Mus musculus: one gene and its partner. The protein of the gene in region 1 binds, or shares a complex with, the protein of each later gene. Links are inferred from orthologs where the notes say so. Each region holds a gene or a part of one and is shown on either strand. Other genes may lie near its edges. The genes, in order: Ghrhr and Ghrh.

Region 1 (3,808 bases):
TTCAATCTTCTAGTGTTACCCTGAAAAATTTAGTCATCTTGAACGATGACTGATAGCACCAACCTCCCAGTGCAGGATTAATGATGACACTGGAGAAAGGGAGGTGGTACCATACTGATGAGGGTGGGGAACACCTCATCGTCCACTTCACCTGCTGTCCTTCCTGTCTCTTATGGGAAGGGGGTGGGTGTCATACTTCCTGCCCTTAGGATGTAGAGGTCCATCATTCCACTCAGCAGAGCTTTCCTGGAGAACAGAGACAGACTACACCAGTCCAGAACCCAAGCCATGGGACAAGAGGACTCTTCTGTCCTTGTGGTTAAGAACGTGTATATACCTCACAGAACCTTCCCACCATCTTCTGGGAAAGGGAGGAATTCTATAAGCAGAGACTCTTCTTTGCCTCTAGGGTTTGTGAAGAGGGACTGCACCATCACTGGCTGGTCTAATCCCTTCCCACCATACCCTGTGGCTTGCCCTGTGCCCTTGGAACTGTTAACCAAGGAGGTAAGCCCTGTATGTAGTTTACTATCTCAATGGATGCCTATCATCCCCACTGTAATCACCCCGTGGATGTAGTAATTACAGGAGCTGTCCAGCAGATGGCAGGAGATGCCTCCTGAAGCTGGTCCATTTACTTAAGGGTGAGGGAGAAGGGAAGCAGAGGCAGACTGGAAGCCATAGTCATCCACCTCTTGGCCAGCCTTTTCTCTTCCTAGTTTTTGGTGCAGGATGGGGGTGGGGTGGGGGTGGGGCGGAGCTTTAGTTATTTCAGAGGGAATAAAGATTGCTGCTGTGTTAGACAGGATGTGCTTGTTTTCTCTGGTCCTCCACCAGTGGTACAGTATACTGGGCTGTGGTATGGGCAAGCAGGTAAAACTCCAGGGTGTAGTCATTACAGAGACCCCTAGCTCTGGACATCATACTTTACACTGTGCACAGCTCAGGGTCTTCTCAAGGCCCATCCACACTCACAATCCCATTTCTCCCTGCCCTCGGCCCTAAGAGCAAAAACCCTGGTGTACTTACCTTTCAGATGAAGAGACAGGTCAGAGAAGCACAGGGATGGCTTGAGATGAACAGCAAGCCGGAGTGGCAGTACCTGGTCATACTACGCCCCTAGCTCTAACTGATTCAAATACTTGGGTCCCAAAGAGCCTTTCCCCGCCTGCCTGTGGCTGTTCCTGGTGTCCAGGAGGTTGCCTGTATATGGGGGTGACCGTGTACTCAAGCTGGTGTCAATAATCAGGCCCAACTTCCTCCTGTGCTTTTGCCGCTCTCCAGAGCCAGGTAGCTTCTGCTGGCTCCTCCCACTCCCATTGCAACTGGGAATCCTTATCTGAGCATCTCTATCTGAGGGGCAGTGTCTGTCCGAGGCTTTCTGTGGTATCAGTGCCTGGGAAGCTGGTGGCGTTGCCAGACTCCTGCTTGATTGCCAAACCTTTCTTCTGCTTCTATTGCCCCCCTCCCCAGAAATCGTACTTCTCCACGGTGAAGATCATCTACACCACGGGCCACAGCATCTCCATTGTAGCCCTCTGCGTGGCTATTGCCATCCTGGTTGCCCTCAGGTTTGCCACCCTTGCCATTTGCTCAAGAACCATCACTGCCTCCCTACTACCTGGGGACCAAGTCTGGTTCTTGGCCTGCATAGTCAAGAGGGGCTCAGATCCAGGCGAGATGACCTTTGTTGACCTCTTGCTCCCCTCACCCCACCCCAAGCCACACAGATGGGCCCTCTCTTCACACAGCAGGCCTCTGTTCTCTGGCCACACCTTTCCTCATGCGGATCTCCTCCTGTTTGCTCCCAATGCCTTCTTTTCCTTGGTGGTGTGTTCACCCCTGCCAACACTGGAAGCCCAGCTCTCATCCAGTTCTAAGAGATCTCCTTGACCCCTGCATGGCCCTTTTCTAATGGTTGCAACATTCTGACCATTGTAGTACTTTTTGGTATCATTTTTTTTCTTTTCAGTATCAGGGATTGAACCCAGGGTTCCCCAAATGGCCTCCACCACCAAGTTCACCCTCATCCCTTACTGCTGGGTGTAATGGCTTTCCAGGCTTCAAAGGTTGAGTTCCCCCATGGGACTATGCCTCAGAGGGTAGCTCTCTGATCATTAGAGGCTCCCTTAGGCTCTTGTAACCCACAGTTACAAAACCGTCTAAAGGCAGGGATATAAGAAACCCCTGCTCCTTACCTGAACTTAGGCCAGGAAAATGCTGGCCAGCTGACCTTCAAGGTCAAACTGACACATTTGTCTCACTTTCTACCCAGTTCATTGGGTCTCATTTTATTTGATGTGGCTTTGGCCACTCTGTCTTGGCTCACTTCTGTGCAGCTTCCCAGCCATGCCAGTCTTGGTCTAGGCCCTGGGAAGGTCTTCTGCAGTCAGGCCTCTATGTTCATCTCTCTTGCCCCTTTCAGGAGGCTCCACTGCCCCAGGAACTACATCCACACGCAGCTGTTTGCCACCTTCATCCTCAAGGCCAGTGCTGTGTTCTTGAAGGATGCCGCCATCTTCCAGGGGGATAGCACGGACCACTGCAGCATGTCCACTGTAAAGACTGTGACTGGAGGGAGTTGGGGCAGGGGGAAGAGGGCAGAAGACAGGCCTGAGTGTGCCTGACCTGTTGCTCCACAGGCTGAGGCTGTGACAAGGGCTGTGACAAGGGAAGGAAGCCTCAAGCTCTCCCCACGCATTCATAGATCAGTGTCCATACGAGCAGCTCCCTTTGCTAGGGGCGCCCCACACCATCATTCCTCTTTCATCAATGTTTCCATTTCAACTTGGTCACAGCAGCTCCTGTGCCAGCCAGCCATGTCATTGCCTTTAATGAGTGTGCAAGGACCTGGGTGGAGCTTGGCCCCTCCTTCCAGAAGCACTCAGGGGACAGGAAGCACTCAGACCTGGGGACTGCTGGGTAGGGAAAGCAGAGAATTAAGAGAATGAAAGAGCTTCAGGGAGGAGGTGGCCTTGGAGCTGCATGGGCCCAAAAGCAGTGAGATGGGGAGGAAGCTTTTAATAAGAGGAGAGCCATCACACCAGAAATTGGAAGTCGCAAAAGTAGAGGGGTGGGGAAAGGAGAGGAGAGGAACAGATTGAAAACTGAAGGGATCAGAGTTCAAGGTCTTTGAAAGTGTTCTGGAAATGAATAGACAAGTGAGTACCGGGACCAACAAGTGGGCTGATTTAATTAATGAATTAATCACTGATTGCACTCACTTAGGCCGGGCAGCACACCAAGTACTTTACATGTATTATCTCTTTTGATCTTAAAACGCCTTGAAGGCCTCACTTTAATCCCATTTTGTTAACGAGGGGCAGTTGGCCAGGTCACCCAGCCACACAGTTGGGGAATAAATAGAGCCTGGGCAACTGGGCTCAGAGGTGGTACCGTAGCCCATAGAGGCAGGTGAGGGAGGAGTGAGCCAGATGGTTGCATGCATGATGAACACATCCTATATCCACTGATCAACGCTGTCCGTGGTTATCACTTTAAAGGAGAACTTCAGCTAGGGAAGGGTGCACTATGACAGAGGAAATAGAAAAGTGTGTATGTGTGTGTGTGTGTGTGTGAGAGAGAGAGAGAGAGAAAGAGAGAGAGAGAGAGGGAGAGAGAGGGAGAGAGAGAGAGAGAGAGAGAGAGAGAGAGAGAGAGAGAGAGAGAGAGAGAGAGAGAGAGAGAGAGCGCAAGCCATGTGAGGTCCTGGAGTTCTTCCTTTTTTCACATACAGAATACTTAGGCTGAGATGGTTTGCATGGCTGACAGAGGACACAATGAACCTAACCTGTGTGTCTGTGCTCTG
Region 2 (4,608 bases), on another chromosome or scaffold:
AGGCAGGCAGGGGAGGGCAGCGGTCAGCACCAAGCTCTAAGCAGAGGCTGGCAGGGACAAAGAGCTAGCTGCCTTCCTGGATGAGGGCTGGATGAGCAAGAGACCTGGTGATGGGAGCCGGCGAGGCCCACTGGAGGAACTAGAAATAGAAGCAGGAGCAGCTGGAGTCGAGTCTCCTCTCTCCAGATGCCGCAGCCTGTCAGAAGCAAGACTCACTCGGGAAAAGGGCTTCTCTTCTGCACATAGGACAGAGTCTGTTTTGTTTCTCGCCTACTCTGTCTGGCTCCTCTCCAACACCAGTTCTTAAGGCTCTGGACATACACAATTCCACAGGCCCCTGTCCCAGGATCCAGAAACAGAGGACAGCAACATCCGGCATGCTCGGTCAGGCCCCGCTCTTCTAGCTTCATTGCAGTCCCCGGTCCCTGGCAACCACCCACCAAATCCCTTTCTGTGCCATGGTGTGTGGAAACGGGACACTGGACAGTCATTTTAGCTGATTTGTTCAATTTGTTTCCTGGGCTTTGGGCAACCCAGCCCATCTGTGGATGGCTGGAAGCGGCATCCGGACAGCACGCCTTCCTAGCCACCTCCTAGGGGCTCCCCAAGGGCTGCCTTCCGTTTTCTTTCCAGGGGTCCGTAGAATACAGTCCTGACTGTTTTCCAAGGCACGAACCGGCATAATAAGCACAAGGCGTCTCCATGGCACCTTTCATTGAGCTTATTGGAGCGTTCTGCAGATGCCACGGAACACCGAGCCAAGTCCCAGGAACACGTTCTGAACCCCAGGAGCTGCACACCGCTTTATTAGGTAGTTTATTGGCGCATCAAATCTGGAGTCTACCACCTTCGGTTCACAAATCAGTTCAGAGAGAGGCTCTAACTTGCCCAATATTAAAGAGTAACAGTGCCACCTGCTCCTCTTCCCTGATTGGCACGATGCCAGGGAATTGACTGGTGGCCTAAATGGGAAATCAAGGCAGGAATGGCTGGAGGTGATAGAAACCTCAGGCTGTTGTGAGCCCAACAAGAACAGACTCTGGCTGGGCAATGGTGGTGCATGCCTTTAATCCCAGCACTTGGGAGGCAGAGGCAGGCAGATTTCTTAGTTCGAGGCCAGCCTGGTCTACAGAGTGAGTTCTAGGACAGCCAGGGCTACACAGAGAAACCCTGTCTTGAAAAAACAAAACAAAACAAAACAAAACAAAACAAAACAAAACAAAACGAACAGACTCTGGAGGCAGGCTTTACTGAGCAACTCATTCAGTTGAGGAGCACAAATGCTATTTAAACTTTTGGGGAGTGAGTAGGGGCACTCAGAGAGAATGTGCATCACTGGCCAAGGCCACAGTGAAGGGAATATTTTATTTGCATGAAAAGGACCTGAGGTGCTTGCTATCTGGACATGACCTTACTCAGAGAGGAAATTTAACCTATAACCCGAAAACTGGTGATGACTACCTCAGAGTAGCAGAAGTGGAGCCAAAAGGCCATGTACGTGCTCTGGAACATACAGGCCCAGGGCAGAGAAGGAGGAGTCCTGCTCCTGCTGGCCTTAAGATGAGATCGTCAGGGCCTGGGCATCACTGGTGATCCAGGCCGGCTCTCCAGGTCGCAGGTCTCTCCTGGTTGCGGCTCCCTGCTCATCTGGCTCCCACAACATCACAGAGTAAGTAGACATGTAAATTTTGAACCTAGCTCTCCTGCTGCCGCTACTGAGGGACAATATCCTCACTAATTGGTTCATAGGAGTTCACAGACCTCTGATGAACAGCAATATGGCTAAATACCCTTCCTTGTGAAGTGCACGGAACTGCATAGCCTGGGTGGGAAATGAGCTGGGTCCATCTCTTTTGTTGCATTTAGCCATTCCTCTTTTGTTATTTTTATCTGATTTGGTTCACTTCAGACCTGGTACCCGTTTCTTATTTATGACTAAAGGCCCCTGGGTGAGAAAAATGGAATCAAGAAAACCGTTTTTCTTTTATGTTCTACAAATGTTTCTATACCTCATTCCCACCACCCTTTAAAATAACATTTCCTTCCCAGGCCCCCCCCCCAAAAGCTTCTAAAATCCCTGCCTTTCCAATCTCCTCTTCACCTTGGCTATAATTATCTTGGGAGAATTTAAATTCCTTATCATGGGTTTGTGATGGCTGTGGCTTAAGGACCGTTGGCCTGGCTTCCATTCTGAGGCTTCGTCAAATTGCCCTCTATAGGAATTACCGTTAGACTCTTTCTTTCCTTAAAGGATGATAATGGGATTGTGACTCTGTTAAAGAAAGAACCCTTCTCTTGCTTGAGATACGTGCTGAAATATTTACCAGTCTGGGATTTGCTTCAAAACAGTCCAGTGAGGGAGATGACAAACACCACAATTGCTCGCTGAAATTGTCAGTCTCCTCCGGCTTTCTCTCACGGATCTTCATTCCTTTTCTGGTGCTGAGGGTGGAACCCGGGACCCCAGGGATGCTCCGTCGGGGTTCTCCCACTAAGCAGTTGCCCTCCTCTCTTGCAGGGACCCATTTGTTTCTTCTCCCTCTCACCCCCCAGGCTTCAGATCTGGATGTTGTGAACCTGAGGGTGGGGTTTGCCTCTGGGAGACTCAGACAAGAAGAGAATCTTAGTTTTGAGATCCCATCTCTATGGGATGAGCATCTGCTCCTCTGGGTCCAGGCTGACAGAGCAGCTGCTTCCTCCCTGGGATCTTTTCAATTCCTTCCTTCCTTCCTTCCTTCCTTCCTTCCTTCCTTCCTTCCTTCCTTTTATATCTTTATGTAATTACACTGTAGCTCTCTTCAGATACTCCAGAAGAGAGAGGGAGTCAGATCCCATTACAGATGGTTGTGAGCCACCATGTGATTGCTGGGATTTGAACTCAGGACCTTCGGAAGAGCAGTCAGTGCTCTTAACCACTGATCCATCTCTCCAGCCCTTTTGACTTTGTTATTAGTGTGTGTGTAGAGGTCAGAGGACAACTTTGCAGGGCTGCCCCCTCTCCTTCTAACTTATGCGGGTCCCAGGGATGGAATGGAAGTGCTTGGGTCTGCGTGGGAAGCACCTTTATCTGCTGCGCCATCTCACTGGCCTGGATTCCCTTTTTCTACATCCACTTCCACTGTCTTGAAGGTAGGTGTAAATTTACCAAGGTCTCCCCATCCCCACCCTGCTTCTGACTCCTGTGCCCTTCAAGGAAGGAAGGGAGGGAAGAAGGAGGCAGCTTAGAGAAGCAACTCTCACTTCCAAGATCTGGACCAGACCCAGCCACCTGGTCCCCAGGGTTTCTTGGAGGTCTCATGATACTCCAATCCCAACATGTGCAAATGGTGCTCCCATCCCTTCCTTGATCCCCACAAGCATCCTGACCCTCCCTGCAGTCATCCGTAGACTCAGTGGGCATCCTTTCCCTTCACTTCTCTCACCTGGCTGCTCTGCTATGCTCGGCAAGGCTGTACTGGTCCAGGCTGTGCTGGTCTTGGCTGTGCTGGTCCAGGCTATGATGGTCCAGGCTGTGCTGGTCTAGCCTATACTCATCTTGCGGAGCCTCCCTTAGTTACCTTCCACCCTTGCACTGCTTCAGGCCCTAGGCTCACTGGCCTGGGCTTCCTGACTGGATTCATTTCCTTCAGGCTGCTGCCAATGTTCTGCCTCCCAAACCATCCCACCAGGCTTCTAGAGCCTCCAGTGGCCTCTCTCTGTGGAGAACAAGAAATGACTAACTTCCTTAGTGTGGCATTTGATATCCTGCATAGCTTAGTCTAAATTATCTATATTTCCTGCTGGTGGAGCCACAAACCCAGGTTCATATCAAAATAAATCAGGGCCTTGATTAATACTCCAGAATCCTAGGCCCTACCCTAAACAGTTGAATTAGGAATCAATCAATCCATCCGAGAAGCACACAAAGGACCAGACGACACGGCGCTCAATTGGGAATTAGCTATGTAAGTCTGAGCACTGGGACTCAGATCCCCAGAATCTAGGTCAAACAGCATCCCTGTAAGTTTAATTCCCGGCGACTTTGCTGACCAGCCGATCCAGTGGAATTGGTAAACACCAGGTTCAAAAAGAATGTCTTGGAGAATAAAGTAGAGAGCCTAGAGAGATGGCCCAGCAGTTGAGAGTGCTTGTTCTTCTTGCAAAGGACCTGGGTTCAGTTCCCACCTATCCCTCACATTGGGCAGCTCACAGCTACTTGTAACTAATTATAGGGAATATAATGCTTTTTTCTGGCCTCCACAGATACTTGCACATATATTTGAGACAGGGGCCCTCTACCTAGTCCTGGCTGTCCTAAAACTCAGTATGTAGATCAGGCTGGCCTCAGAGGCAGAGATCTGCCTGCCTCTGCCTCCCGAGTGCTGAGACTAAAGGTGGCACATGCCACCATCACCCCTCTATAATTCTTTTAAAGCCTATATTTTAGGAAGTAAAAGCGGGGAAGTGATGGGGGAAAAGCCCTGACACTGACCTCTAACCTCTGGCTTCTGCCCATGTGTGTGCATACCTGTGCATCTTCGATATACATGAGCCTCTACACACACACACACACACACACACACACACCTGCAACACACAGGAACCTACACACCTACACAAGTACACATA

The links.
Region 2: the proteins of Ghrhr (region 1) and Ghrh are in contact, whole or in part, in a cryo-EM structure (PDB 7CZ5), measured with the Homo sapiens proteins. The link is inferred for Mus musculus from reciprocal best matches to the Homo sapiens genes GHRHR and GHRH. Residues at the interface, in NP_000814.2 of Homo sapiens: Leu119, Ala120, Glu122, Glu123, Phe126, Ser127, Val129, Lys130, Tyr133, Val179, Lys182, Leu186, Phe187, Asp190, Thr192, Asp193, His194, Cys195, Phe197, His210, Thr213, Phe217, Ala271, Cys272, Asp274, Leu275, Asp276, Trp282, Ile285, Ile289; in NP_066567.1 of Homo sapiens: Tyr32, Ala33, Asp34, Ala35, Ile36, Phe37, Thr38, Asn39, Ser40, Tyr41, Arg42, Val44, Leu45, Gly46, Gln47, Leu48, Ser49, Ala50, Leu53.

The regions. Positions count from the first base shown.
Region 1 is NC_000072.6:55,379,279-55,383,086, forward strand, and holds part of Ghrhr (growth hormone-releasing hormone receptor precursor), read left to right. Parts: intron 1-409; coding exon 410-507; intron 508-1,473; coding exon 1,474-1,571; intron 1,572-2,425; coding exon 2,426-2,558; intron 2,559-3,808.
Region 2 is NC_000068.7:157,343,633-157,348,240, reverse strand, and holds the start of Ghrh (somatoliberin preproprotein), read left to right. Parts: upstream 1-1,585; 5' UTR 1,586-1,669; intron 1,670-4,608. UniProt on the Homo sapiens protein: GRF is released by the hypothalamus and acts on the adenohypophyse to stimulate the secretion of growth hormone.